Saccharomyces cerevisiae S288C: one gene and its partners. The main gene of each other region encodes a partner of the protein of the gene in region 4 in a complex. Each region holds a gene or a part of one and is shown on either strand. Other genes may lie near its edges. The genes, in order: NUP116, SEC13, NUP84 and NUP145. A codon is read from its position in the direction of its gene.

Evidence for each region.
Region 1: NUP145 (region 4) and NUP116 share a complex: the UniProt entries of both Saccharomyces cerevisiae proteins name them as parts of the nuclear pore complex.
Region 2: the proteins of NUP145 (region 4) and SEC13 are in contact, whole or in part, in a crystal structure (PDB 3IKO), measured with the Saccharomyces cerevisiae proteins. Residues at the interface, in NP_011423.1 of Saccharomyces cerevisiae: Ile744 (codon at 3,781), Glu747 (codon at 3,790), Arg748 (codon at 3,793), Arg749 (codon at 3,796), Phe750 (codon at 3,799), Thr751 (codon at 3,802), Ser753 (codon at 3,808), Tyr754 (codon at 3,811), Thr755 (codon at 3,814), Phe756 (codon at 3,817), Ala757 (codon at 3,820), Lys758 (codon at 3,823), Phe759 (codon at 3,826), Ser760 (codon at 3,829), Thr761 (codon at 3,832), Ser763 (codon at 3,838), Leu765 (codon at 3,844), Leu766 (codon at 3,847), Thr767 (codon at 3,850), Lys768 (codon at 3,853), Lys773 (codon at 3,868), Ser774 (codon at 3,871), Gly775 (codon at 3,874), Val776 (codon at 3,877), Ile778 (codon at 3,883), Leu781 (codon at 3,892), Pro782 (codon at 3,895), Glu784 (codon at 3,901), Arg1045 (codon at 4,684), Gln1046 (codon at 4,687); in NP_013309.1 of Saccharomyces cerevisiae: Asn9 (codon at 3,607), Glu10 (codon at 3,604), Leu11 (codon at 3,601), Ile12 (codon at 3,598), His13 (codon at 3,595), Asp14 (codon at 3,592), Ala15 (codon at 3,589), Leu17 (codon at 3,583), Asp18 (codon at 3,580), Tyr19 (codon at 3,577), Tyr20 (codon at 3,574), Lys22 (codon at 3,568), Arg23 (codon at 3,565), Leu24 (codon at 3,562), Thr26 (codon at 3,556), Phe36 (codon at 3,526), Val38 (codon at 3,520), Gly40 (codon at 3,514), His43 (codon at 3,505), Leu45 (codon at 3,499), Pro55 (codon at 3,469), Trp57 (codon at 3,463), Arg58 (codon at 3,460), His63 (codon at 3,445), Pro64 (codon at 3,442), Lys65 (codon at 3,439), Gly67 (codon at 3,433), Thr68 (codon at 3,430), Tyr75 (codon at 3,409), Ser101 (codon at 3,331).
Region 3: the proteins of NUP145 (region 4) and NUP84 are in contact, whole or in part, in a crystal structure (PDB 4XMN), measured with the Saccharomyces cerevisiae proteins. Residues at the interface, in NP_011423.1 of Saccharomyces cerevisiae: Tyr852 (codon at 4,105), Lys855 (codon at 4,114), Thr856 (codon at 4,117), Asp857 (codon at 4,120), Asn858 (codon at 4,123), Gln860 (codon at 4,129), Val861 (codon at 4,132), Ala864 (codon at 4,141), Leu865 (codon at 4,144), Lys868 (codon at 4,153), Ile897 (codon at 4,240), Val909 (codon at 4,276), Val910 (codon at 4,279), Ser913 (codon at 4,288), Lys914 (codon at 4,291), Ile917 (codon at 4,300), Ser919 (codon at 4,306), Lys920 (codon at 4,309), Asn921 (codon at 4,312), Gly922 (codon at 4,315), His923 (codon at 4,318), Leu924 (codon at 4,321), Ser925 (codon at 4,324), Val926 (codon at 4,327), Leu927 (codon at 4,330), Ser929 (codon at 4,336), Tyr930 (codon at 4,339), Leu931 (codon at 4,342), Gly932 (codon at 4,345), Ser933 (codon at 4,348); in NP_010167.1 of Saccharomyces cerevisiae: His97 (codon at 1,821), Tyr99 (codon at 1,827), Ile148 (codon at 1,974), Leu153 (codon at 1,989), Lys154 (codon at 1,992), Ser155 (codon at 1,995), Cys156 (codon at 1,998), Asp157 (codon at 2,001), Leu158 (codon at 2,004), Asp159 (codon at 2,007), Leu162 (codon at 2,016), Arg163 (codon at 2,019), Asp204 (codon at 2,142), Ile206 (codon at 2,148), Ser207 (codon at 2,151), Cys209 (codon at 2,157), Met210 (codon at 2,160), Ile211 (codon at 2,163), Cys213 (codon at 2,169), Gly214 (codon at 2,172), Gln216 (codon at 2,178), Tyr218 (codon at 2,184), Asn220 (codon at 2,190), Val222 (codon at 2,196), Ile223 (codon at 2,199), Thr225 (codon at 2,205), Thr233 (codon at 2,229), Gln234 (codon at 2,232), Gln235 (codon at 2,235), Gly236 (codon at 2,238).

Annotation. Positions count from the first base shown.
Region 1 is NC_001145.3:360,337-368,487, forward strand, and holds NUP116 (FG-nucleoporin NUP116), read right to left. Parts: upstream 6,370-8,151; coding exon 3,028-6,369; downstream 1-3,027. Other genes in the region: YMR046C (gag protein), read right to left, coding at 969-2,291; CSM3 (Csm3p), read left to right, coding at 6,645-7,598; ribosome biogenesis protein ERB1, read right to left, coding at 7,758-8,151. UniProt on the Saccharomyces cerevisiae protein: Functions as a component of the nuclear pore complex (NPC).
Region 2 is NC_001144.5:558,017-563,181, reverse strand, and holds SEC13 (GTPase-activating protein SEC13), read right to left. Parts: upstream 3,632-5,165; coding exon 2,738-3,631; downstream 1-2,737. Other genes in the region: B-type cyclin CLB4, read right to left, coding at 1-1,174; PNP1 (purine-nucleoside phosphorylase), read left to right, coding at 1,450-2,385; ubiquitin ligase complex subunit HRD3, read right to left, coding at 3,893-5,165. UniProt on the Saccharomyces cerevisiae protein: Functions as a component of the nuclear pore complex (NPC) and the COPII coat. It is one of 5 proteins constituting the COPII coat, which is involved in anterograde (ER to Golgi) double-membrane transport vesicle formation.
Region 3 is NC_001136.10:250,034-256,773, forward strand, and holds NUP84 (Nup84p), read left to right. Parts: upstream 1-1,532; coding exon 1,533-3,713; downstream 3,714-6,740. Other genes in the region: CYK3 (Cyk3p), read left to right, coding at 1-1,205; IWR1 (Iwr1p), read right to left, coding at 3,962-4,941, 5,012-5,093; YDL114W (short-chain dehydrogenase/reductase), read left to right, coding at 5,571-6,497; ATG20 (Atg20p), read right to left, coding at 6,600-6,740.
Region 4 is NC_001139.9:336,355-344,886, forward strand, and holds NUP145 (nucleocytoplasmic transporter NUP145), read left to right. Parts: upstream 1-1,551; coding exon 1,552-5,505; downstream 5,506-8,532. Other genes in the region: kinetochore-microtubule binding complex subunit SPC105, read left to right, coding at 1-1,285; NBP35 (Fe-S cluster-binding ATPase), read right to left, coding at 5,702-6,688; LIF1 (Lif1p), read left to right, coding at 6,965-8,230; MF(ALPHA)2 (Mf(Alpha)2p), read right to left, coding at 8,437-8,532. UniProt on the Saccharomyces cerevisiae protein: Functions as a component of the nuclear pore complex (NPC).

The DNA of each region.
Region 1 (8,151 bases), on a different chromosome or scaffold from region 4:
CCGCTGTGGTTGTATAGCATGGAGTTATACCATTTTTTTCAAGGAATTTATGGAGAGTTCTGTTAGTATACTCAGAACCACGGTCCATTTGTATAACTAAGACACTGGCCTGAAACTGGTTTTTAATAAAAGCTAGTATCGTAGTAAAAACATCGAGGATAGAGTCCTCGCGACGGTCGTGTAATGGATAAACCCAACGGAATTTTGTTGTCTCATCAGTAAATGAGATGAAATAGGATGGTGCACTTTTTGGTAGGTTGTGAACTGGACCAAATATGTCAGTATGTAGGTATTGAAAGGGTTCGTATGAATTTTGGTATTTTAGTCGTGAACCTTTGATATGTCTGTGTTTGGTGCTTTTGCCGATTAAACAATCAGGACATTGATAGTCAATAGCACTAGACCAGTCGACATCTGATTCGTTAAAATACGTGATGGTGTTATTTTTAAGTGAGTATCGAATTGTCTGTGCATTGGCATGTGCAAGCATTCGATGAATGAAAGGATAAGGATATTTGCGTGTACTTTCACTTGTATGGACATTATTGATGGTGGGTACGGAGATATTTGATGGAAGCAAGTACTTTTTAGATACCCAGTAAAAGTCTCCATATTTTACGATAGGTGCAAGTACAGTGCCGTCAGATCGTTCTAAGACGTTTTTGGTAAAGCATGCTGTGATATCTACTGCAGCCAATTCATTCAAACTGAGTAAGTCATAGGCTATGTTAGGAGTGTGCAATACCTTTATTGATGTTTTGGTGTTGTCCTGGAAGTGAAATTGTAGGTCACCAATAGCGTTAATTGGTATATTTCTTTTTTGAGCATCAACTACGTTTATGTCAGGATTAGATGATGCTGAGTGTATGTGATGAGCAGATCTTATAAGGGTTCGTGATGCTCCTGAATCAAGAAGGAGGTGTCCAGGGAGTTTATCATCAGAATGATTAGTGTGATTTACCGTAGATTCAGTAAGTTCCTGGCCTAAGGTGAAGGTCGTGTGTATTCTTCAATTGAATCGGTTCAGTAGTCGATCCTCTTATGAGATCGTTATCAGGGCCGGGAGAGTTATTAAATGTGGATACGTTATGAGCCCTGGCTGTTCTTGATTGCGAATTATTTGGTTTTTGGGAATTCCGAGTTATGGATTTGGGTTTGGTTGTATTCGTATAGGTGCGAGAGTCTTTCTTCTCATCACTCGGACTTCTCCTATGAGTAGATTTATTACGTTTTGATTCCTGTTGTTCTTCATACATAGAATGTATGTCTGAAAACAGATCAGCAACTGTCATATGTATACATCGATGACGTGCGTAGCGTAAAAATTTGTACTCGCCAGATAGACCTCTCATAATGAATTGGCATGCTACCTTGTTATTGATAGGAATACCATTGTTGTTTAGTCTGTCAAGAATGTTTGTGACTTCTGCTTCAAATGCATCTGCAGGTGTACTTCCATTATAATGCAAAGTTGCTAGGGTCGTAATGTCATTTACCTCTTGAGTATCAGACTGCATTTTGTTAATGCTTTTGGAAAGAATTTTCATGATATCTGTATAATCAACAGATAAGATGTCTTTAACCCAGGGGGGTAAGAATTGAGATGGAGCAAATAGTTGAAAGGTGTGACATAAGAAGGTGAGTTCGTCATCAGTCATCTGACGTACGGCTTTTCTTGTTGCTGTCGGAATAATATCACCGAGATTCGAATTTTGTAAAAATTTAATGTATATTTTAACCCAATTGAGAAAGTCATTAGGTGAGGTTAAGATTGGCGGTGGTCTGACATGTTGATTAGTGGATGTCATATTAGACTTTGCTGAGGATGAATCAGGAAATGAATTACCTGACTCAGGTGACGGGGTGTTCAAATGTGTTCCAACATATTGTGGATATTGTGTAAACTGTGATTGTGCCCCAGGTGGAGCGTACATAGGTGACATTTGATAAGGTGGATACGGCATCAAGGATGGGTGCCCGTATACTGGCCAGCCAGAAATATTGGCTTGTTGGGTATTCATCATGCGCTGCTGTGGGTACGGCCCATTTTGTGGCAATGGTACTTGAGCAGCTTGAGGAGAGGCATGATGATGGTTCTCTGGAACAGCAGATGAGAGAGGTGTTGTTGGCTGTTGAGAATTAGCCTGAGTGGAAACCTTCTCACATTCTTCTGTTTTGGAAGCTGAAATGTCTAACGGATCTTGAGTTGTTTGGACTTCTTTAGAAGTAACCGAAGCACAGGCGCTACCATGAGAAATGGGGGAATGTTGAGATAATTGTTGGGATTCCATTGTTGATAAAGGCTATAATATTAGGTATACAGAATATACTAGAAGTTCTCCTCAAGGATATAGGAATCCTCAAAATGGAATCTATATTTCTACATACTAATATTACGATTATTCCTCATTCCGTTTTATATGTTTCATTATCCTATTACATTATCAATCCTTGCACTTCAGCTTCCTCTAACTTCGATGACAGCTTCTCATAACTTATGTCATCATCTTAACACCGTATATGATAATATATTGATAATATAACTATTAGTTGATAGACGATAGTGGATTTTTATTCCAACATCATTTTCAATGAAGCTGTGACCTTGGCATTCGCACCGCTTGACACTACAGGACGAATAAATTCCATGTTCGGGTGGTGGCTAGAGGTACATATGCGGTAAATGTACTGTATAGCCCAGCATGTTTTTCTTAACAATCCAAGTTTGCCATCTTAGTATAGTGGTTAGTACACATCGTTGTGGCCGATGAAACCCTGGTTCGATTCTAGGAGATGGCATTTTCTTTTTTTTTCAAAGAAAAGAAAAAGGGAAGGCAACAAACGACATGAATTATTGTCTTTTTCAAAAGGATGTAATTATCGCAGCAGGTCTATGAAGGGTCCCTTTTCTCTTTTTTATCACTTGTTCCATCTATAATTTTATACTCAAAAATTTAACAGGTTAATTACACTAAATGCATTACAAATTTGTATTTGATTCTATATATAGTTTCGTTATATAATAACTCAGGTCTGCTCTGCAGCGTGGTTTACGATAAACACGTATGTACCACTGTCTGCATCATAGCTTTCGAACTTAGAATTTGGATTTTTCTTTAAGCGTTCGATATGCCTTTTAACCAGTTGATGATTTGGATCCTTTATAGGTTTTCTGGTAGATTTGTCTACAGGATAACAGTTAAAGCAGGTAATCCTGGCCCGAACATTAATGCCCTCCCCTCTCTTCGGTCTGTTTGGTAAGTTCGCATATATTATACAGGTTTTTGGTTCAAAAGTAATGATTACGCCCCCTAATGAGGTCAAAGGAATTCCAGCGAGGTCAACAGGTTCAAGAAATTCAATTTTACCATAACTTTTATGACCCACAACTAAATGAGGAACTTTGCGCAGTTGCAAGAGAGAATAAGAGGATAATGTGTCCAGGGATGGTGAGATATAGTAGTTCTCATTAATGAAGGAGGCATCTTTTTCCGCAACGTCCGCAAAAACAGCCTTTTTATCATCTTCTGAATATTCTTGCTTCTGTAAATCGGCGACATTTTCTTTATTTTCTTCGTCCATATTCCGGGAATGATGTTTCGTTGCGCTATCTTCCCCATCGTTCTTTGAGGACAAAACCATTCTTTCCCCCCCATTAGCAGTTTCTTTTTCATCCATCTTTGGCTTTCCCAAGATCGTTTCTTGTTCTTCACTTTTACTTTTAAAATTCATATCGTTGTTCTGTGATCCGTTATTCTTTTCCTCGGATGCGATCAACATTTTCCTGTTATTAATTAGATTCTTGAATGACCTTTTATCGGGATTGAATAATAACTCAGAAGCTTTTAATATGCTTTCGTCCAAATTTTCCTCCTGCTGGTTAGAAATCGCAATCTGATTATTCTTTTTATCAATGGAAATCGACAACTTTGGATCAACCTTGATCTGGGCCTTATCCATGACGGAATTATTAGTCTTGAGCTTGGCTGTAAATAAAGTTTTAGGAATCATTTTGTATGCGTTCGTCAAACTGGCTTTTTTGCGTTCATCGGCTTTGATCTTTGTAGCGCTTGGTTGAATTGGATAGGAAACCGTGTTGGTGACAGTTGCTTTCGAAAAAAGCTCATTAGTACCGTAGGGATTGTTATTCTGAATTTGTAATCGTTGTTGCTGCTGCTGTTGTTGGAGCGCATTTTGTGATTGTGCCATTGACTGGGAAGGTTGGGAAAATAACCCTCCGCCCGAAGTGTTCGTACTAGTGTTATTCTGAAATAAGCCTCCAGCATTAGTAGATTGAGAGGTGTTATTACTACCAAACAGGCCCGTTGAACCGTTGGAATTGTTTAGAGACGAGTTGTTATTGTTTCCAAATAGTCCTCCAGCACTTGTAGAAGCTCCCGCACCAACTGGTTTATTACCAAATAAACCAGTAGAATTGGTGGTGGCCGCCGTGTTAGATGCATTATTGGACCCAAATATTCCACCCGAAGAGGCGTTTGGAGCCGTGGAATTAGTACCTCCGAAAAGGGATCCTGTAGCAGGTTTGCTACCAAATAATCCGCCGCTAGTTGAGGCAGGATTGTTTTGATTTGCAACTTGATTGTTTCCAAATAATCCGCCTCCAACAGTGTTTGATGGTTTTGAACCAAACAGGCCACCCGAAGCAGGTTGCTGTTTATTTTGGAACAAACCTCCTGATTGCTGCTGCAAATTATTTCCACTTATACCGTTACTTTGATTTGTTGTGCTGTTAGAGAATAAGCTTGTATTTCCAAAACCAGTTGGTTTCGCTCCAAAAAGACTATTATTCTGTTGTGGTTGTTGTAACCCATTTTGGCCAAATGGCTGATTATTATTTTGATTGGTCTGGCCAAACAATCCACCAGGTTGGGACTGCGACTGGTTGTTTTGTTGTCCGAATAATCCCCCGGTTGATTGCTGTTGTTGGTTATTTTGCCCAAATATAGAATTATTTTGGGCATTACCAGACGCAAAAGTGGATGCTCCCTGCTGTTGTCCAAACAGTCCTCCTGCAGGTTTGCTTCCAAATAATCCGCCTTGTTGCTGTGGCTGGCCAAATGCGTTTGAGGAGTTTTGTTGTCCAAATAATCCGGATTGGTTCTGGCTTTGGTTATTCTGACCGAACAATCCTCCAGCGTTGGAATTTTGTTGCTGGCCAAATAACCCTCCTCCACTTTGCTGCTGATTGGTTTGCCCAAATAAGCCACCAGTGGTACCAGTGGGGTTGGTATTCATTCCGAATGCTTTTGAACCAGCAGATTGTCCAAATAGTCCACCAGAAGCAGGTTTAGCTCCAAAAAGAGCACCAGTGCCTTGCTGTTGGCCGAAAGCGCCACCATTTGCGTTAGCGTTTGATTGACCAAATATACCACCACTACCTTGTTGTGTTTGTTGTTGGGGAAAGGCACCACGATTCACCTGACCAAAGGCTCCCCCGTTACTGACATTATTCGCCCCAAATGAATTTTGCTGTTGACCAAATAATCCTCCGTTTGTATTTGAGTTCTGCTGGCCGAAAAGGCCTGTATTATTAGTGCCGTTTGTTGGGTTGTTAGTTGTATTACCAAACAATCCCCCGGAAGTGGCAGGTTTATTTGCTCCAAATGCAGAATTTCCTGAGAGGTTAGTAGAGCTTCCAAACAATCCTGTAGAGTTGGTCGCTCCAGAGCCAAAGCCACCACCACTTCCAGTTCCGGTTCCAAACATGCCTGTTGCTGGCTTTTGACCAAATAATCCTCCTGTTGTAGCAGAAGTAGTGGAGTTATTATTACCCATAATTCCAAATCCAGTATTGGTAGTTCCTTGAGGATTGTTAAAAGTAGTACCAGTGCCATTTTGACTGGTACCGAATTTTCTACCAGCTTGGTAATCTTGAAATCTCAATTCTTCAAAAGAAAAATTTCTGTATTCAGGCATACAGGTGATACTTTGGAAGACGTTGATGACACCTGTGGTTGGATCCTTCTCTTCGAATGTAGTAAAAGGTTTAATGCTTGTACCTGCAGTAGAATTGGGCACAACAGAAGCGGAACCAGCAGAAAGTGCTGTGTTATTACCCATTCCACCGAAGATCGAGCCAGAGGCATTGTTGTTCGTCAATTGACTTTGACCAAAAGGAGTACCATTTGCTGTAGTCGAGCCTGACATTCCGAAGGGAGAATTAGAAGTTTGGTTACCAAAGTTACCAAACGCAGGTGCTTGTGTTGTATTTGTTTGCTGACTGAGGCCGAAAGCAGAAGTGTTTGCTACTGGTTGTTGTTGTTGCTGTTGGCCACCAAAGGTTGATCCTGTTGAGCCAAATGGCTGTGTTGTTGCGCTGGGGAATGCGCCACGGCTAACTCCAAACATAATAATGTTTTAAAAAAGAAATCTTCGAAGCTGAATGGTGCCTCTCAGTTGCCGGGATCTCTATGCAATGCTGATAGTTTCCTTTGCGACCTTATGACACTTTATTAACTCTAAGTATAATTTAGTTTTGTTCTTTTTCTAATGAGCATGGTAAGGAAAAATGCCGGGTAATGATAATCTGCAAAAGTGACAATAATAAACTGACGCGTAACAAGATCAATGATATACTGGATTAAAATGCCATGAAAACGTGAACAGAAACTTTTATTGAGGTCATGGATCAAGATTTTGACAGTTTATTACTAGGTTTCAATGACTCCGATAGTGTCCAAAAAGACCCAACTGTACCAAATGGCTTGGATGGTTCAGTAGTTGATCCTACCATTGCGGATCCAACCGCAATTACAGCTAGAAAGAGAAGGCCTCAAGTAAAATTAACAGCCGAAAAACTACTCAGTGATAAAGGTTTACCATATGTTTTGAAAAATGCACATAAAAGGATACGAATTTCCTCAAAAAAAAACTCATATGACAACTTATCAAATATTATTCAGTTTTACCAGCTTTGGGCACATGAATTGTTTCCCAAGGCAAAATTTAAGGATTTTATGAAGATCTGTCAAACAGTAGGTAAAACAGATCCAGTTCTTAGAGAATATAGAGTCAGCCTTTTTAGGGACGAGATGGGCATGAGTTTCGATGTTGGCACACGGGAGACTGGGCAAGACCTGGAAAGACAATCACCTATGGTTGAAGAACATGTCACTTCCGCGGAAGAGAGGCCTATTGTCGCAGATAGTTTTGCGCAAGACAAAAGGAATGTAAACAATGTCGATTACGATAATGACGAAGATGACGATATCTATCACCTTTCTTATCGCAACAGAAGAGGACGAGTTTTGGACGAACGTGGGAATAATGAAACGGTACTTAACAACGTTGTGCCGCCTAAGGAAGATTTGGATGCATTATTGAAGACATTCAGGGTACAAGGGCCCGTTGGCCTTGAAGAAAATGAGAAGAAGCTCTTATTAGGATGGCTAGATGCGCATAGAAAAATGGAAAAAGGCTCTATGACTGAAGAAGACGTTCAACTGATTCAAAGTTTGGAAGAGTGGGAAATGAATGATATAGAGGGACAACATACTCATTATGATTTATTGCCAGGGGGAGATGAGTTTGGCGTAGATCAAGATGAGTTGGATGCTATGAAGGAAATGGGCTTTTAGCAATGTCATTGAAGGTAATAATCCAAACGTGCGTGTGGGCATCTATACATATAGGTTTATATATATTGTGTAAATAAAGCTTGTAGAAAGAGCCTGGTTCGAGTGTTTGATTTTTTCTTCTTGGGCGTTATTATACAATATCTACTTCAAATTATTTATCTAGGTGGTCCATAAGCGAGCCGTATTATCAGCACCGGCAGAAAACAGCCAAGCTTCCCTCGGATGCCAAATAGCATCAAGAACACCCAGACTATTGATTACTTTATGACCGGTTAGTTTCTTTAGTGGCACAATCATCGGATTTTTCATCATGTCATCATAAACAGTGGCATGGAAAACATGTATGGTACCGTCATCAGCGGCAGAGCTGAATAGAGGTAACTTTTTGTGGAAATTCACACTTCTGACGGCTTTTTCATGATATCTTAGTGTCTTGTAAGGTGTGCTAGCCAAATCCAGGTCGTGCCATAAAACTCTCTTGTCAAACGATGACGCAATTAAATTATCACCCCTTGGGTGAATATCGATTTTCGATAACCAACGGGCACCAGGC
Region 2 (5,165 bases), on a different chromosome or scaffold from region 4:
TTCTGCTCAGAAAATACGCGCCAGCAGCTAACCAGCTTGGTGCCGCAGCCACTAGTTTGGGTTCTACTATTGTAGTTTCCAATAAGTACTTTGCTAATGTTCTTGGTTCGAAGTCATAGTCATCTGCTTTACTTATCCTTCTTAAAAATGGCATGGGTCCTGGCCAACCTATTTCAAATTCCAGAGTATCTATCATATACTGTTCCGCTCTAATAATGTCATCTCTAGTGTATGTATTTTCCAGCATGTAAACTAGATCATCCAAAGTGGGGCAGTTAATCTCTTCAAACTTGGCAGCAATAAATAAAGCCGATACACCAACCAATTGAAACCTGTTCAAAGTAACGGTCTTCTTTGACAGAAATCTATCCACTATATTAATCGTCAGGTATAGCGTTTCTGGTAAAAGTTGAAATCTAAAATGCAGTTGAACTAGCCAATCTATCATAGTTCGTCTGAACGGCCATGTAAGCTCTACTTGATTTTGCATATAGTAGGGATTAGGCCTATATTTCACTTCAAGTTCTCTCAAGTAATAGAATATGTCGGAAGCGTACTCCACAACCATCACAACATCATGGGTATCATCATCCAGCGGATTGGGAACCGACCGAAAATATTTTTCAAACGCCCTGTCCAGCTCAGTCTGAATTTCATCGTTGTTTATTGGTGATAGTGGTTCAATTTGACTATCAACATCCTCTTCAATGACATCTTGCATTTCTCCATCGAAATCTTCATACACTTCATCGGCTTGAATCTGCTGATCATTTACTCTTCGACTTAACAAATCATCAATAGCATCTTCATTAACTTGTTCGTCATCAGTAGAAGAGCCTTCAGAACTATCAATTAAAAAATAGTCGCTATCTTCATGCCTTACGTCTCGTTGTTGTTCTTTTACCAAGGCCGATGAGCGTATGTTCTCTATTTCAAAATTGTTCTTCGTCTGATGGAATTTATTATGTATAGCATTGTGTATTTTGTTTGCCTTTTGAGAGGTTACATCACCTAATGCAACCCTCCTTTGTCTTTTTTCTAGCCTTTTTATACCCTTTTGAACTCCTTGGTAAAGTACGTTCTTAACTTCTTGGTTTGCATTTTCGTCCTGAATTTCAATGTCACCTATCAAAGTAGACTGTGGAGGTTGTACCGTATACCCTTCAAGCATCATCTGTCAATTTCCTTGTTTGATCAGGGCAGCCTAGTATCCGGTATAGTAAGCAGTTTCCCAAATACGACGTTAATTATCAAAGAATTAAAACTTTATGCGGCCACAATAAATAAATATCTTTCTGATGTTTCCATTGTTTTTGTTTTTGTTTCAGTGTTTACAAAGCGCAAAGAAAAGGAAAATCTCGAAGCAGAGGGCAGATAGGGCAGGCATAACTTTAGGATAATCTTGCTAATCTTCTAGAACACATGAGAAACTCCGAATAAACTTAAAAGATGAGTGATATCTTGAACGTAAGTCAACAACGTGAAGCAATTACCAAGGCCGCTGCGTATATTTCTGCTATTTTAGAACCACATTTCAAAAATACAACAAATTTCGAGCCTCCGAGAACTTTGATTATATGTGGTTCAGGGCTTGGTGGAATATCTACCAAGCTGTCTAGAGACAATCCACCCCCGGTAACAGTCCCATACCAAGACATCCCAGGATTCAAGAAAAGTACGGTTCCAGGTCATTCCGGTACACTAATGTTCGGATCTATGAATGGTTCACCAGTAGTATTAATGAATGGTCGTCTTCATGGATATGAAGGCAACACATTGTTTGAGACTACTTTTCCTATTAGAGTGCTTAACCACATGGGTCATGTTCGTAATTTAATTGTCACTAATGCCGCTGGTGGTATAAACGCGAAATATCAAGCCTGCGATTTGATGTGCATTTATGATCATTTAAATATCCCTGGCCTTGCTGGCCAGCACCCATTGAGAGGTCCTAACTTGGATGAAGATGGACCTCGTTTTTTAGCCTTGAGTGATGCATATGATCTGGAGTTGAGGAAGCTTTTATTTAAGAAATGGAAAGAGCTCAAGATTCAAAGGCCACTGCATGAAGGTACTTATACTTTTGTATCTGGACCCACTTTCGAAACAAGAGCAGAATCCAAAATGATAAGGATGTTGGGAGGAGATGCTGTCGGAATGAGTACTGTTCCCGAAGTCATTGTTGCAAGACATTGCGGATGGAGGGTTTTGGCCTTAAGTTTGATTACCAATACTTGCGTGGTGGATAGCCCTGCCAGTGCGTTGGACGAATCACCTGTACCCTTAGAAAAAGGCAAAGCGACTCACGCTGAAGTACTGGAGAATGGTAAAATCGCCTCTAATGACGTGCAAAACTTAATTGCTGCCGTAATGGGGGAATTATAATTGTTATAACTTAAATACCTCTATTTATTACATAGCGGGAAGATGTACCTTCGGCCGGTAGAATAATTTCGCCTGTTCTATTGAAGAAAAACAGTCTTATATATCTATTGTATATACGTCGATTATTTTTGTTCGCTTGTTTTTGTATAAGAAATATCTATGACAATATTAATATAAGAAGTTGCAAAAAAAAAACAAAGAAAAAAGTTGAAAAGTTTTTGAAAACTTCCACAAATCTTTAATTGTTATACGTTACTGTACATTATGCGTTTATTTCCCTTCAAATTCGTCGATAGACTCATTTGCATTCTTTTTTCTTTTGAGATGTTTCATTTTAAATTCTTGATACTCTTCACTGATGAACTTCACCAGCGGGTTCCCATTTACCCTCAAGATTTTCCTTCCATAAAGTAACTTTATTATCGCCACCGGAAAGAGCTAGTACATTACCTGACAAAGACCAACTGGCTCTCCATAAAACATCTGGGAATTTTTCTTCTTTTAATAAAGTTTTTTTCCATGGGCCTTGTTCATTGTCTTGAGTCCAAATAATACAGGTGCGATCTTGAGAAACACTGGCCAAATAAGAACGTAGAAGAACAGTAGGTGACCATGCTACGTCTCTAACCCAATCGCTGTGACCTTCTAAGGTGCTTTCCAGAACATAAGTTTGGGCATCTGAATTGTACTTCCAAATCTTTACCAAATTGTCAGCACCCCCAGTAACAAACTTGCGAGATTCTTTAGTACCGTTGTGTTCACCATCTTCTTCGATGGTAGCTGGAGCCCAAGAAGCAGAGTTAACGCCAATGGCATGAGCATCGATGATTATTGGGGAAGTAGTACCGTTTTCTTTGAACTCTACTACGGAGACCTTACCATCAGAGGAAGCAACCAGCAGTAGGGGGCCATATTCATGAGGAGCCCATTGAACAGAGTTGACAGAAGCAGAGTGGACAGCATGAACGGCAATTTGAGACCATCTACCGTTTTCTTCCTTCCAAATCAACACTTTACCATCATAAGAACACGATGCCAAAATGGTTCCGAATTTAGGATGTGCCCAATCAACACGCCAAACTGGGCCTTCGTGGCCAGTCAACGTGTCTATTAACTTGTGTGTTTCTCCTTCGACTTCAAAGATCTTGATTGTCTTGTCAGAAGAGCAGGTTGCAAGGCGCTTCCCATAATAGTCTAGAACAGCGTCATGGATTAATTCGTTGTGCGCATTAGCTATGACGACCATTTGTATGCTGATATAAAATTATCTGTTATCTTTGCGCTTGTAAGTTATTATTATTCAGAGCTGGAAGCCAATTGTATCACCTTCGCCAATGCACTTTCACTGTTCGAAATTGTGTTGATCTCAATGGGGTTAAAGCTCTAGGGTGGTAATTCTCTGTCGGTTTCGCTTTTTTTCTTCTCGCTGTTCGCTTTATTGAAAACTTTCGGGTAATGCGTGGGTGATTTCTATGGATAGTCTATGTATATATCTATACAAACCACATCATATGGCGAATATCTGAACATTGAAGTCCCAGCCCGGGGGACCTTGTGCTTGTTGTTGTTGTTGTTGCTCTTGCTGCCGGTTACCATTTGCATTTAATTGTGCTCCATTGAAACGGACATTCCAGCCTCTACGGGCCGCCAGTGTACTCATTAATATACTTAATAGGAATATCCCCAAGATACATCCCATCGTAACAAGATCCTCCATTTGGAAGCCCAAAATCTCGGAAGCCTCCTCTTGGTCGTCACCCCTATGGTTAGCTCCATTCTGCACTACAGTTCTGTGTTTGTGAGAATCTTCCGCAGCTTTGTCACTATCCTCCTTATGTCTCATTCTTTGTAGAATCTTCGTCAATTGCTTGTACCATGAAGTCTTCGAGTGCTGAGTATCTTCGTTAGGGTTAAGTGGCGAGGAAGGTTTCCAGTAGTTTACTTTTTCTCTGGTGATCCAAGTCAACCATGACTTTAGGTGTAATTTTAAAACACTCAATTTGGAAGCCAAGTAAAATCTATGATCGTGTTCTGAAACTTGGTCGTAGTAACGTTTAGCAAGATGGAAATCTCTGTTTACACCTAGCCCATGCTCATGCATGTACCCTAAGTTCCAGATAGCCTGTATAGAGTACTTCAAAGCTGCACCCTGATAAAGAGCCATAGCTTTACTGTAATTCTGCATCTGAAAATAGATATCTCCCGCGACAACACCAGCATCTATATTTCCCTGTTTAAACGCTCTTGTATAGTAGGAAATTGCCAAAGTTTTTCTCTGATCTGTGGTTCTTGGAGGATCCTCAAACTCATATGGCAACTGGTACATTAAGTAGGCGGCAGAGACTTGAGCAGTCTCGTAGCCTTGCTCGGCTAGTTGGGAATAAGCCCATAAAGCCACTTCTGAACGATCGTTGATTAATGCGGCAAATGCTGTCCTCAGTTTAGGTGCCATAATAGCTTCGTTTTTGTCAACGAATGTTTTGAACAGGTAAGCAGTGTTTTCCACACTACTCTTACTGTTCATTCCAGATTCGATCATTACTGCAAACTCATATATGGCTGGAATGAATCCATTCAAGTAGGCAGTTTCCATTAAGTTAAATGGGTCGCCGATTTTTTCTTCAGGGAATGAAGTGGCCAATTTGGATAATTGGAATTCTACGATTCCATTGTTAGCTTGTGTTTTCATAGCTTTCATATAATACGAAATTGCTTGAGAAATATTGTTTGTGATGTATTGATTTATTAAGCCCAGATCTATGCACGCTCTACCTATAGGT
Region 3 (6,740 bases), on a different chromosome or scaffold from region 4:
GAGGCATATACATTTTTTGCACAGAGATGTTTGCTCTGACTGATGATAATGGAACGTCAGATTTTTCTGCGGAACCCCAAAATTTAGAGAAAATACTATACAGAAAGCATTGTACGCCATATGAATTGACATGGCTTTTCAAGAAATTAGCAAACTCATTGGGAATCACTTGTGAAATTGTTATAGGTTTCCTGAAAACACCGAGTGCTATAAATTGGGAGTTTAAGTATAACCACTGCTGGTTGAGAATACTGGTTAACAAAGAATGGAGATTTATTGACGTTATTTTAGGAAATGTAACCAACCCAATTCATGAATTTGTAAATAACAGAAAGATCAAGAAAGCAGAAAATAGCTACTTTTTGATGGCACCATTAGAAATGATATACACACATATACCGCCTAGGGAATTTGAGCAGCATATTGTTCCTAGTATCGATCAATTATCTGCATTGTATCTGCCATTAGTTTTTCCATCTTTTTTCAAAAATGAGTTAAAGTTATACAAATTTAGTACTGCACTATCATTTTTGGAAGATTCTGAGATCTACGAATGCTCCTTAGAAATTCCCAATGACGTTGAAGTCTTTGCATCCGTGGTTATTCCAACGGATAATGAAGAAGCTTCATCTGCGTACAGGAATATGGAACTCGCACTGACCCAAATCAAAAAGCAGAAAGCCGAGTCTGGTAGAAGAATTGCTCTAATCAAAGCAGTCCTACCACCCAATGTGAACAAAGGTTCACTGTACATACATTCAGGTGTAAGAGGTACGCAAACGAGTATTGCCAATATCCATCCACTGTCCATGATGGTCCCATTAACACATAAGGGAAGTAACATGAAATACGAATTTGTGATCAAGATACCCTCAGAAAGCATTCAGAAGATTGAGCTATACATTGTCGAGCCACAGAGTAGATATCTATTTGTTGGTAATGAGTACTCATTCGAAGTTATTCAAAGTCCCTCCGATGGTATTGTATACAGCAGTGATGAAGGGCCGAACCAAAATAGGAAACAACCAATGGCAATAAAATCACCCTCAGGAAGAGTTCATGAGCTAGTCAAGAGCGATCCCCACTTTCCTTATGGTACCTGGAAAGGAAGCATTAAAATCAAAGAGCCCGGCGTCTGGAGCGCTTTAGTGATCGCTGACTCTGGTATTGGGTGGTCCGTTTTTGCTGAATGGTTGTGCGTATAAACGTTTTTCACAAATTTTTTTACAGCGCTATAATCTGTATCATTCAACATACATTCTACTCAGGAAGGTGAATTTCATAACTCATATATGGCTATATAGTACTTATTATTTAATGATTTATCCATTGCATTCATAAAAGCTATGCTGGTCCAACTTTTTCGTATTTAGTGATGTTTTCGGTGAAGAAAATATGAAAAATTAGACCAAATGCTCAAATACATACGACATTTGAATTGTTTAGGCAAGTCCGAAAACGAGGTATATCAGCTAATTCAACCTGAAAACCAATTGAGTGCTACTTCGAAGTAAAATACATAGCCATTTCAAATGGAATTATCCCCTACTTATCAAACAGAACGCTTCACAAAGTTCTCAGACACTTTAAAGGAATTCAAAATTGAACAAAATAATGAGCAAAACCCCATTGACCCGTTTAACATCATAAGAGAGTTTCGCTCAGCCGCGGGGCAGCTTGCGTTAGATTTGGCTAATTCTGGAGATGAAAGTAACGTCATATCTTCTAAGGATTGGGAACTGGAAGCTAGATTTTGGCATTTAGTAGAACTGTTACTGGTTTTCAGGAACGCTGATCTTGATCTAGATGAAATGGAACTTCATCCTTATAACTCGAGGGGTTTATTTGAAAAGAAATTAATGCAAGACAACAAACAACTTTATCAAATATGGATAGTGATGGTTTGGCTCAAAGAAAATACATATGTGATGGAAAGACCCAAAAATGTACCAACTTCAAAATGGTTAAATAGTATTACTTCTGGAGGATTGAAAAGCTGTGACTTGGATTTTCCTTTACGAGAAAACACTAATGTCCTCGATGTTAAAGATAAAGAAGAAGATCATATTTTCTTCAAATACATTTACGAACTAATTTTGGCCGGTGCGATTGATGAAGCATTAGAAGAAGCTAAACTTTCCGACAATATTTCAATTTGTATGATCCTGTGTGGGATACAAGAGTACTTAAACCCTGTCATTGATACGCAAATTGCAAACGAATTCAATACCCAGCAAGGTATCAAGAAGCACTCTTTGTGGAGAAGAACAGTTTACAGCCTTTCGCAGCAGGCCGGTTTGGACCCTTATGAAAGGGCGATATACAGCTATTTGAGTGGCGCTATTCCCAACCAAGAAGTTCTGCAATATTCGGATTGGGAGTCTGATCTGCACATACACTTAAATCAAATTTTACAAACTGAAATTGAAAATTATCTTTTGGAAAACAATCAAGTAGGTACTGATGAACTGATTTTACCATTACCTTCACACGCGCTAACTGTACAAGAGGTGCTTAATAGAGTGGCTTCAAGGCATCCCTCAGAAAGTGAACATCCAATCAGAGTTTTAATGGCATCTGTCATACTAGATTCTTTGCCATCAGTTATTCATTCATCCGTGGAAATGTTGCTTGATGTCGTCAAGGGAACCGAAGCTAGTAACGATATTATAGATAAGCCTTATCTTCTGAGGATAGTTACACATTTAGCCATTTGCCTTGATATAATTAATCCAGGTTCTGTTGAAGAGGTTGATAAGTCCAAGCTCATTACTACGTATATCAGTCTTCTGAAATTGCAAGGCCTTTATGAAAATATTCCAATATATGCTACTTTCCTGAATGAGTCAGACTGCTTAGAGGCATGCTCTTTCATATTGTCTTCTTTAGAGGACCCCCAAGTAAGGAAAAAGCAAATTGAGACAATAAACTTTCTAAGATTACCTGCCTCAAATATTTTGAGAAGAACCACACAGCGTGTTTTCGATGAAACCGAACAAGAATATTCACCATCTAACGAAATTTCCATATCTTTCGATGTAAACAACATTGATATGCACTTAATATATGGCGTGGAATGGCTTATTGAAGGGAAGCTTTATGTGGACGCTGTCCACTCTATCATTGCCTTATCGAGGAGATTTTTGTTAAATGGCCGCGTAAAGGCTCTCGAACAATTTATGGAGAGAAATAATATTGGAGAAATATGCAAGAATTATGAATTAGAGAAAATAGCCGATAACATATCAAAGGATGAAAATGAAGATCAGTTTTTGGAAGAAATAACTCAATATGAGCATTTGATAAAGGGCATAAGAGAATATGAAGAATGGCAAAAATCCGTTAGCTTGTTAAGCTCTGAATCGAACATTCCTACTTTAATAGAGAAATTGCAAGGTTTTTCAAAGGATACATTTGAATTGATCAAGACATTTTTAGTAGATTTAACTTCCTCTAATTTCGCGGATTCGGCAGATTATGAAATCCTGTATGAGATTAGAGCCCTATATACTCCATTTCTACTGATGGAATTGCATAAAAAGTTAGTGGAAGCCGCAAAGTTGTTAAAGATCCCAAAATTTATTTCGGAAGCCCTGGCATTTACCTCATTGGTCGCTAATGAGAACGACAAGATTTATTTATTATTCCAATCTAGTGGAAAGTTAAAAGAGTATCTGGATCTCGTTGCTCGCACAGCAACCCTTTCGAACTGATCAATTAATGTATTGCAGAATAAGTTTATATTTTAAGTAAACAGCAATAATTTTATGCATTTCTTCTATCTATTTCAGAAGTAATTGACGTGATTTTTTATAGTTTTGCTTTGAATCTTTGTGTTTCCACACCGGAGAAAAAAAAGTTCATGAAGTGAAAAAGCGGTTAAACATGAATTTTCTACTATCTAAAGATAAAATTACAGATGCAGTTACTTACATACATTGAACAGTTTCTGACGGCAAATTTAGCTTCTATTAATTTTTTTCTGTAGCTGATGAAAAATTCTGTCCCTATGATGCGCCAATGGGTCATCAACATCCGTCGGAAAAAATTCATTTCTAGGGTATTCAATATCATCTCCTTCATCAGAATCATCTTCGTTATCACTTATCTCTATTTCACCTTCTTGGCCATCCAAGTCAATGAAATTCGAGGAATTTATGGATTTCAAGACATCACTTTTTCCTCCAAGCCTGTTAAAAAGATCCCCGTACTCTTCCTCCACATCGTGGTACCCATTAGATCCCTGAATTTTATCGTCATTCCAAGAGGAAAACCTGCTCTTATTAACCCCTATAACAATCTCTTCACCCAATGCAGCTATATCCTCTCCTTCGCTACCAAATAGAATAGATCTATCATCATCTTCATCCTCCGGATAATCATTTTGGTAATAGTTTTCGTCATTAGAATCCTCATCGTCTGAACGGGCTTCATTGGGATCACTTTCTTCATCAAGAGCCAAATCTATATGCTCAATAATTTTCACAAACCCTATATTTTTCTCGTTGTTATATCTAGCAACCTCATCGTCATGAATTTTCTCCAAATGGTAGATGTCAAAAACGTAATCTAAACTGGGTAGTGATGCAATTTTTGCAGAATCCCCAGTAAAATATTTCCTACTTGGTTTTTTTCTTTCTGTCTTTTCTACACCTTTATTCAACTTTAAATAGTCATTCACCATTTGATTGATCTCTGGCGGTAACCCATCGTCATCTACAGTACTTCCTTCTGCTGCAAGCCGCTGTTGTGATTTTTCATCATCTGAGTCTCTACGACTTTTTTTTCTTTGTTCCAATACAAAATGTCGATGATCTTCATGAGCCAGTTTTAAGAGTGGCGTAGAAGACTCTTGCTCGGATTGATAGCTTTCAGAGCTCACAGTCTTTGATAATTTAAATATGAACTTCTGCTTCTTCACTCTTTTCCCCTCATCAATTACTGAATTGTCCCAGATGAACTTAGTTAGTCAAACGCATTTTTGTTATATCGGTAGAATAACAACACATACATAATGCCTGCACAGAATCCTCATCCCTTCTTCTCTTTACTCTGATAAACTCAGGTGCCGTTGTGGTACTAATAGTGCTCATTCCCGAAATCTTGTATGCCTACCTCAACAAAAGCTATACCTCAGAGAGCAGTTTTATATACCATCTCTTGTTCTCATCAATAACTTGTCTTGAGCATTACACAATTTAAATCCCCTGTGCCGACACAAACAAGAGATAACCCGGAATCAATATTATCTGATTGGGCTCCTAAATATCGCATCTGTGGACTTGAATCCACATGCTGCGAACTTATTTGAAGCAACAATTACTTCTGTTGGAAGCGTGGTAGTGCCAAATCAGACTTGCTCTTTAGTTTTCTTATGTTAACGCTTTACTGCCTTTTTCTTCTATATTTTTGAACGTCAATATGTAGCGGGCGTCAGCAGAGGAACAGAATTTGTGACACTTCTTGAATGAACATTTCTCATATCTGAAACCGCATCATCAAAAGGACACCTCAATAGAGATTCAGTGACATATTTAACATAGTTTTATGGGTAAGAAATATTATTAATTATGGTACGCAAGAATAAAATAAATAGAGCGAGTGGAACTACAAAACACCTCAAGGATTTTCCATCAGTCATCCTAAGTCTGCCCAGCTACAACCCTTCCATCCTTTCTAAAAATGCAACTGCACTAATAACCGGTGGTTCTAGTGGACTCGGATTTGAACTTGCAAAGGAACTTTCCAGAAGAATTAATAAAGTTATTGTGGCAGATATTCAATCATTTCCTACTTTTGCTCAGGTAGAATATAATAACATTTTCTACTATCAATGCGACATAACAAGTCTAGATGAAATTAAAAATTTGAAAAAAGCTATTGAAAGAGATCATGGCAACATTAATATAATTATAAATAATGCTGGTGTTGCTCACATCAAAAAGTTAGAACATATGACAAACAAGGAGGTAGAACAATTGATCGACATAAACTTAATAGGTGCTTACCGAATCATCAGTACATTTGCAGAAGATATGATAGACAATAGGGAAGGCTTTATAATTAACATTGCTTCAGTCCTCGGAGAACTGACTCCTGCAAGGCTGACATCGTATGGTGCATCAAAAGGAGCAATGATTGGTTTTCACAAGTGTATGAGCAGGCATTTCAGAAGTTTGTCCACGGAATGTAATAAAACTGGAATAAAAACACTACTGGTGTGCCCGGGAAAAATCAAAACTAATATGTTTATTGATGTCCCTACACCATCTAAGTTATTGGCTCCTGACATCATACCTTCCCAACTGGCACTAGCGATAATCTCTGCGATGGAGCATAATCATCTGCAAACACTAAATGCCCCATATTATGTGAACCTAGTTCCCTTTTTCAAAACTTTGAGTTGGCCATATAGGCATCTCTTAAAACATTTCAGTGGAATGGACCATGTAACGTCAACCAGCCCGCGAGCAATAAATCCGAAGAGAAGTGCATAATATTTTAGTCTATTTAATACATTTGACGTTATTTGATCTTCACGTTGTTTATATATATATATATCAAGTATGCTATAACGCTAAAAAAAAATGCTCATAATACTATGCAAAATCTTGATGTCTTTTGACTTCTTTCCAAATTTCTAAATTTTGACGGGCATAATTTCTCATATATCTGGAATAATGCTTTAAAATTTCTGATAAATCTACTTCCCTTTCTTTAGAAAATTTAGGTAGCTGGTC
Region 4 (8,532 bases):
GGAGAATCAAAGGATAGATAACGTATTTTCTGCCTTCTATATCGATATACCCATTTTAGAAGTGGAAGCATTCAGATGCAAGGAGCTTTGGAGAAGTATTAATGAATCCAAGGATAAATTCAAGGACTTTGAGGCCCAAATTGATAAATCCCATCCCCCTCTTCTGCTCCAGGAGTATTTTTCCTCGGATGAGAAAATGAAGCAATTGATGAGGGACCAGCTACAGTTGGTCAAAGGATATTCGAAATTGGAGGCAGCAATGGAATGGTATGAATGGAGGAAAAAGCAACTAAATGGTCTGGAATTAATTTTGGCAGAAAATTTGAATACCTTGAAAAGGGAGTACGAAAAATTAAACGAAGAAGTTGAAAAAGTTAACAGCATCAGAGGCAAAATACGAAAACTTAATGAAGCAATAAAGGAAGAGATAAGGTCCCTAAAAAACTTACCATCCGATTCTTATAAGCCTACTTTAATGAATAGAATAAAAATTGAGGCTTTCAAACAAGAGTTAATGGAACATTCCATATCGTTGAGTTCTTCCAATGATTTTACCCAAGAAATGCGTTCACTTAAATTAGCTATTGCAAAAAAATCTAATGATATACTAACTTTAAGAAGTGAAGTCGCCTCTATAGACAAGAAAATTGAAAAACGAAAACTGTTCACACGGTTTGACTTGCCAAAATTACGAGATACTCTCAAAATTTTGGAGTCATTAACGGGGGTACGCTTTCTGAAATTCTCAAAGGCAACACTTTCAATTGCATTTCTTCAACTGGATGATTTGAGAGTGGATATTAATCTAGCAAACTTTAAAAATAATCCGTTAAGTTCTATGAAAGTTATGAATGACAGCAATAATGACGATATGAGTTACCACTTATTCACAATGTTGTTGAAGAATGTTGAAGCCGAACATCAAGATAGCATGCTTTCGAACCTTTTTTTTGCTATGAAAAAGTGGAGACCATTATTGAAGTATATAAAATTACTAAAGCTCTTGTTTCCGGTGAAAATTACTCAAACTGAGGAAGAGGAAGCGCTTTTGCAGTTCAAGGATTATGATAGAAGAAACAAGACTGCATTTTTTTACGTTATATCCCTTGTCTCATTTGCTCAGGGCGTATTCTCGGAAAATGGGCAAATTCCAATGAAAGTTCACATAAGTACTCAACAAGATTACTCACCGTCACGGGAAGTCCTCTCTGACAGGATAACCCACAAGATCAGTGGAGTTCTTCCTTCATTTACGAAAAGTAGAATACATTTAGAGTTTACGTAAAGTGTTTATAATAGGACAACGATGACTAGTAATATCTCATCACTTTTTTTTAGTTTTTGACGAAAGATTTTTAACTGCCCCGCCGGCAGGAAAGTTCAAACAATTTGAAGAAAAGCTCGAAAAAATTTTGGACAAAAACAACAATCACATCACCATTGGAAAGATAAAAAATTAGAAAGAATTAACTCGTTTGTTGTTTCCTGTTACCTATCACAATTATTATTGCTTTTTAGAACCACAAGCAAAGGAGAAGCAGTAGCCACCTTATGTTTAATAAAAGTGTAAATAGTGGTTTCACCTTTGGAAACCAAAACACATCCACACCGACATCCACTCCGGCACAGCCTTCCAGTTCCCTTCAATTCCCTCAAAAATCTACTGGGTTATTTGGGAACGTTAATGTTAATGCGAATACTTCAACACCTAGCCCATCTGGTGGATTATTCAATGCCAATTCAAACGCTAATTCTATAAGTCAACAACCCGCCAATAATTCATTATTTGGAAATAAACCAGCACAACCATCAGGTGGCTTATTTGGCGCTACAAACAATACTACTTCTAAAAGTGCCGGAAGCTTATTCGGAAATAATAATGCCACAGCAAATTCTACGGGCTCTACAGGTTTATTCAGTGGTAGCAATAATATAGCCTCTAGTACCCAAAATGGTGGTTTGTTTGGTAATAGCAACAATAACAATATAACTTCTACCACGCAAAATGGTGGTCTGTTCGGTAAGCCTACTACAACCCCTGCTGGTGCTGGCGGCCTGTTTGGAAATTCCTCATCGACAAACTCAACGACAGGATTATTTGGATCAAATAATACACAAAGTTCTACAGGTATTTTTGGTCAAAAGCCGGGAGCTTCAACAACTGGGGGATTGTTTGGAAATAATGGTGCTTCATTCCCAAGATCCGGTGAAACTACTGGAACCATGTCAACCAACCCATATGGAATTAACATAAGTAATGTTCCTATGGCAGTGGCTGACATGCCAAGATCTATTACGTCTTCTCTATCAGATGTGAATGGCAAGTCAGATGCGGAACCCAAACCAATTGAAAATAGAAGAACATATTCGTTTTCTTCCTCAGTTTCAGGGAACGCTCCTTTACCACTCGCCTCACAGTCAAGTTTAGTGAGTAGACTAAGCACGAGACTGAAAGCCACTCAGAAAAGCACGTCACCGAATGAAATATTTTCACCGTCTTACAGTAAACCGTGGCTGAATGGAGCAGGTTCAGCTCCCTTAGTAGATGACTTTTTTTCTTCAAAGATGACTTCTTTGGCTCCAAATGAAAACAGCATCTTTCCTCAGAATGGTTTTAATTTCCTATCCTCCCAAAGGGCCGACTTGACAGAGCTGCGTAAATTGAAAATTGATTCCAACAGAAGTGCTGCAAAAAAATTAAAACTCCTCTCTGGTACTCCCGCCATCACAAAAAAACATATGCAAGACGAACAAGATTCATCGGAAAATGAGCCAATTGCAAATGCTGATAGTGTCACTAACATTGACAGGAAAGAAAATAGAGATAATAATTTGGATAACACTTATTTGAATGGAAAGGAGCAATCGAATAACTTGAATAAACAAGACGGCGAAAATACTTTACAACATGAAAAGTCATCAAGTTTTGGTTATTGGTGTTCTCCTTCCCCAGAACAGCTGGAGCGTTTGTCATTGAAGCAATTAGCGGCCGTTTCAAATTTTGTTATCGGGAGAAGAGGTTATGGTTGTATTACATTTCAACATGATGTGGATCTCACAGCTTTTACCAAAAGCTTTAGAGAAGAACTATTCGGTAAAATTGTAATATTTCGTTCCTCTAAGACAGTAGAAGTATATCCTGACGAAGCCACCAAACCAATGATTGGGCATGGGTTAAACGTTCCCGCTATAATCACTCTAGAGAATGTTTATCCTGTAGATAAAAAAACAAAAAAACCGATGAAAGATACGACGAAGTTTGCTGAATTTCAAGTTTTTGACAGGAAACTAAGAAGCATGAGGGAAATGAACTATATATCCTATAATCCCTTTGGCGGGACTTGGACTTTCAAAGTCAATCATTTTAGCATTTGGGGGTTAGTCAATGAAGAAGATGCGGAAATAGATGAAGACGATTTGAGTAAACAAGAAGACGGCGGTGAGCAACCATTAAGAAAGGTGCGCACGTTAGCGCAATCAAAACCATCGGATAAAGAGGTTATCCTCAAAACAGATGGCACTTTTGGAACTCTATCAGGTAAAGACGACTCTATCGTTGAGGAAAAGGCATACGAACCTGATTTGTCTGATGCGGACTTTGAGGGAATTGAAGCTTCCCCTAAACTTGACGTTTCTAAGGATTGGGTAGAACAATTAATTTTAGCTGGGTCTTCACTACGTTCTGTGTTTGCCACTTCTAAAGAATTTGACGGGCCATGTCAAAATGAAATAGATTTACTCTTTTCCGAATGCAATGATGAAATTGATAACGCAAAACTCATCATGAAGGAAAGAAGATTTACAGCCTCTTATACGTTTGCAAAATTTTCAACAGGTTCAATGCTACTGACAAAAGATATTGTTGGTAAATCGGGCGTTTCAATTAAGCGTTTACCAACTGAGTTGCAAAGAAAATTTTTATTCGATGACGTCTATTTAGATAAAGAAATTGAAAAGGTTACTATCGAAGCAAGGAAGTCAAACCCATACCCACAAATTAGTGAAAGCTCTTTACTCTTTAAAGATGCTTTAGATTATATGGAAAAAACCTCTAGTGATTACAATCTATGGAAACTTTCATCTATTTTATTCGACCCCGTTTCCTATCCATACAAGACGGACAATGATCAAGTAAAAATGGCATTATTAAAAAAAGAAAGGCATTGTCGATTAACTTCGTGGATTGTTAGCCAGATAGGTCCGGAAATTGAAGAGAAAATTAGGAATTCTTCTAACGAAATAGAACAAATATTTCTATATTTGCTCTTGAATGATGTCGTAAGGGCATCCAAGTTAGCAATTGAGTCTAAGAATGGTCATTTGAGCGTTTTGATATCCTATTTGGGTTCAAACGACCCAAGGATACGTGATTTAGCGGAATTACAATTGCAAAAGTGGTCAACTGGTGGTTGTAGTATCGACAAGAATATCTCGAAGATTTACAAATTACTAAGCGGTTCACCTTTTGAAGGTTTATTTTCTCTTAAGGAACTTGAAAGTGAATTCAGTTGGTTGTGCCTTTTGAATTTGACACTGTGCTACGGCCAGATAGATGAGTATTCCTTAGAATCTCTTGTGCAATCGCATTTAGACAAGTTTTCTTTACCCTATGATGATCCTATTGGAGTTATTTTCCAACTATATGCTGCTAATGAAAATACGGAGAAGCTCTATAAGGAGGTTAGACAAAGAACCAACGCTTTAGATGTTCAGTTTTGCTGGTACTTGATTCAAACATTGAGATTTAATGGAACACGCGTTTTTTCGAAGGAAACTAGCGATGAGGCTACATTCGCATTTGCCGCTCAACTTGAATTTGCACAATTACATGGCCACTCTCTTTTTGTTTCTTGCTTTTTAAATGATGACAAGGCAGCAGAAGATACCATAAAAAGGCTTGTTATGCGTGAAATAACATTGTTAAGAGCCTCTACCAATGATCACATTTTAAATAGATTAAAGATCCCTTCGCAATTGATATTCAATGCTCAAGCTTTGAAAGATAGATATGAAGGCAATTACCTTTCTGAAGTACAAAATCTACTCCTGGGTTCGTCTTATGATTTGGCAGAAATGGCTATTGTTACGTCATTAGGACCAAGGCTGTTGTTATCAAACAATCCTGTACAGAATAATGAACTGAAAACTTTGAGGGAAATTCTTAACGAATTTCCAGACTCTGAGAGGGACAAATGGAGTGTAAGTATAAACGTATTTGAAGTATATCTAAAGCTTGTGTTGGATAATGTTGAAACGCAGGAGACTATCGATTCATTAATTAGTGGTATGAAGATATTTTATGATCAGTATAAGCACTGTCGTGAAGTGGCCGCATGTTGTAATGTTATGTCCCAAGAGATTGTATCAAAAATATTGGAGAAAAACAATCCTTCAATAGGCGATTCGAAGGCCAAATTGCTTGAGCTCCCCCTAGGGCAGCCAGAAAAGGCATACTTGAGGGGTGAGTTTGCCCAGGATTTAATGAAGTGTACATATAAGATATAAGTTTTTTTATTTTTATTTCTAAAAAAAAGAAAAATAGTAAAACATGGACTGAAGCTAACGCTTTTGGAGTAATTAGTAGCATTATATATGGTAAAAGTGTTCTTCAGTAGGTCTAAGATTTAAAGGTAATGATATTTATATTATAAAACGATTTGACCTCTAATGCACTTCCTTTTATTCTTTTTGATAAAATATACTATACATCCCCCACAGCATCTCGCAGAGCCTCCACAACGTTAAGTACAGCACTCGAAGCTGGGCTGTCAGGATAGTTATCCAGGAAACTTTCACCCATGTCACAACTCTTGCCAATCCTCGGATCTAACGGAACAGACCCCAAAAATTTGATGCCCAATTCCTTACAAAGTGCTTCACCTCCACCTGTGGTAGCCTTGAATATTTGGGACTCTCCTTTGCAATTTGGACATACAAATCCGCTCATATTTTCCACTAGTCCAAGAATATTGATACCAGCCTTCTTACAGAAATCTATCTCTTTCCGTACATCTAATAAAGCTACTTCCTGAGGTGTGGTGACCACAAGGGCACCATCTATGCCAGATTCTCTCATATACTTGTTTATTGAAATGTGCTCATCAGATGTTCCGGGCGGTGTGTCGATTACCAAGTAATCGAGTTTATCCCAATCAACATCCTTTAAAAATTTTTTTATCAATAAATTCTTTTTTGAACCCCTCCATATAATGGCGGAATCGTCTTCTGGAAGCATATATTGAATAGACATGGTGGCTAAATTATCAGTCACATAGACAGGTGTCCAACCGGAGTTCGATTCATGGACGGTTTCTTTAATGCAGCCTAACATATGTGGCAAAGAAGGTCCACATATATCTAAATCCATGGCACCTACTTGTAAATCTTCGTCAGCTGAAAGTGCCCAACTTAGCATTGCGGCAAATGTCGACTTGCCTACGCCACCTTTGCCTGATAAAACCAATATTTTATGTTCTATTCCTGACAAGTTATCTGTGATCAATGGAATATCTGGATCAGGGCCTTTCGGAAGACTTTCACATATTTCTTTATTGGCGCAGCCACCACAAGCATCGGACTTACCTGCCATGTCTGATTCTGGACCAGGACAGTGTTCTGGTTCCGGCTGATTAAGTTCATACTCTGCTGGTAGCACTTCGTCGTTTACATGTGGTAGTATCTCAGTCATTCTTGGATATCACTTATGTATACTGTTGTTCTCAAAAACAGAAAGACTTCACGTTTAGCCTAGCCTACGAGTTGTTGGACAAACATGTTATTTATTATTATATACAAAATATTTCTACGCATTACTAATTACACCATTAATGAATCCGAAAAAGTACCCGGAAGCGTATTTTGAAAAGCCATATTAAAGAATAATAAGATGAACGGCAGTTTTCGACGTGTCAATGCATAGAACTGAGAGAATTGTGCATTGGATGACTTATTTATGTAGGGTGCTATGTCCCAGCTGACGGAGTTCATTAGCTGTATCCCTGTGGTTAATGAAGAACAAAATGAAGAAGATGAGCGTGGCCTCTGTAAGATTCAGATTGAAGATGGCGCTATGTTGGAAACATTAGATGAGAACAGTCTTTCAGGGCTTAGAATAGAGAAAATGTTGGTAAGTGAAGGTACAGGAATTTTTTCCAAAAGCAGTTTTGGAATCAATGATTTGCGAATCTTTACGGGAGAAAATATCGATGAAGAGTCTAAGAAATATGTGTGGTATGAACTACTCAAAATGTTAACTGGTCACAAAGTGTACATTGCATCGTTAGACGAAAAAGTCGTATTCACAAAATGGACGTGCAGAATGCAAGATGATGAGGTATGGAAAGTAGTTATGGAGTTGGAGTCATCGGCGATCATAAGAAAAATCGCTGAACTTACCTTGCATCCAGTCAAAAAGGGAGAGATTGATTTATTTGAAATGGCAGATAAACTCTATAAAGATATCTGTTGTGTTAACGATTCTTACCGGAATATAAAGGAGAGCGATTCTAGCAATAGAAATCGAGTTGAACAGCTGGCTCGGGAAAGGGAGCTATTGGATAAGCTTTTAGAAACACGTGATGAAAGAACCAGAGCAATGATGGTAACCTTGTTGAATGAGAAGAAGAAGAAAATAAGAGAGCTTCATGAGATTCTGCGACAAAATAATATCAAATTGTCTGACGATGATGTTTTAGATTCTGCGCTTATTAATACGGAAGTGCAAAAGCCAATTTCTGAGTTAAACTCTCCAGGAAAAAGAATGAAACGAAGAAAGACGGTAGTAGAGCCTCAAAATTTACAAAAGAAGTTGAAAGACACAAGTCGGAGGAGAGCTAATAGAAAAATATCTAATCAATCCGTGATCAAAATGGAAGACGACGATTTTGATGACTTTCAATTTTTCGGACTTTCTAAAAGGCCAATTATTACTGCTAAAGATAAACTCAGTGAAAAGTACGATGATATTACCTCTTTTGGAGATGACACACAATCAATAAGTTTTGAATCTGATAGTAGCAGTGATGTTCAAAAACATTTAGTGTCTTTAGAAGACAATGGTATTCAAATATCAGCAGGAAGATCGGATGAAGATTACGGAGACATTTCTGGTTCTGAATCTGAGACTGATGCAAGTGCAGGGGAAAAGAAGAGCTCCAACCATAGTGAACAATCCGGTAATGATAGGGAACCTTGCTTGCAGACAGAATCGGAAACGGATATAGAAACATAGCCTATTTATGAATGAATGTAATATATGGCAAAGAGTATTATAGTATCGCATCATTTGAGAGAATACTTTATTTAAATGGCAAAAAATAGTTCTATGTGAGTGATCGAAAACTCAACTACTCAGATTGAAAAGAAAATAAATAAAACTAGGTGTTGTATGAACGTGAAAGAAATCGAGAGGGTTTAGAAGTAGTTTAGGGTCATTTTTCAGTACATTGGTTGGCCTGGCTTGAGTTGCAACCAGTGCCAAGCATCAGCGTTGGCCTCTCTCTTGTACATTGGTTGGCCTGGTCTCAAATTTAA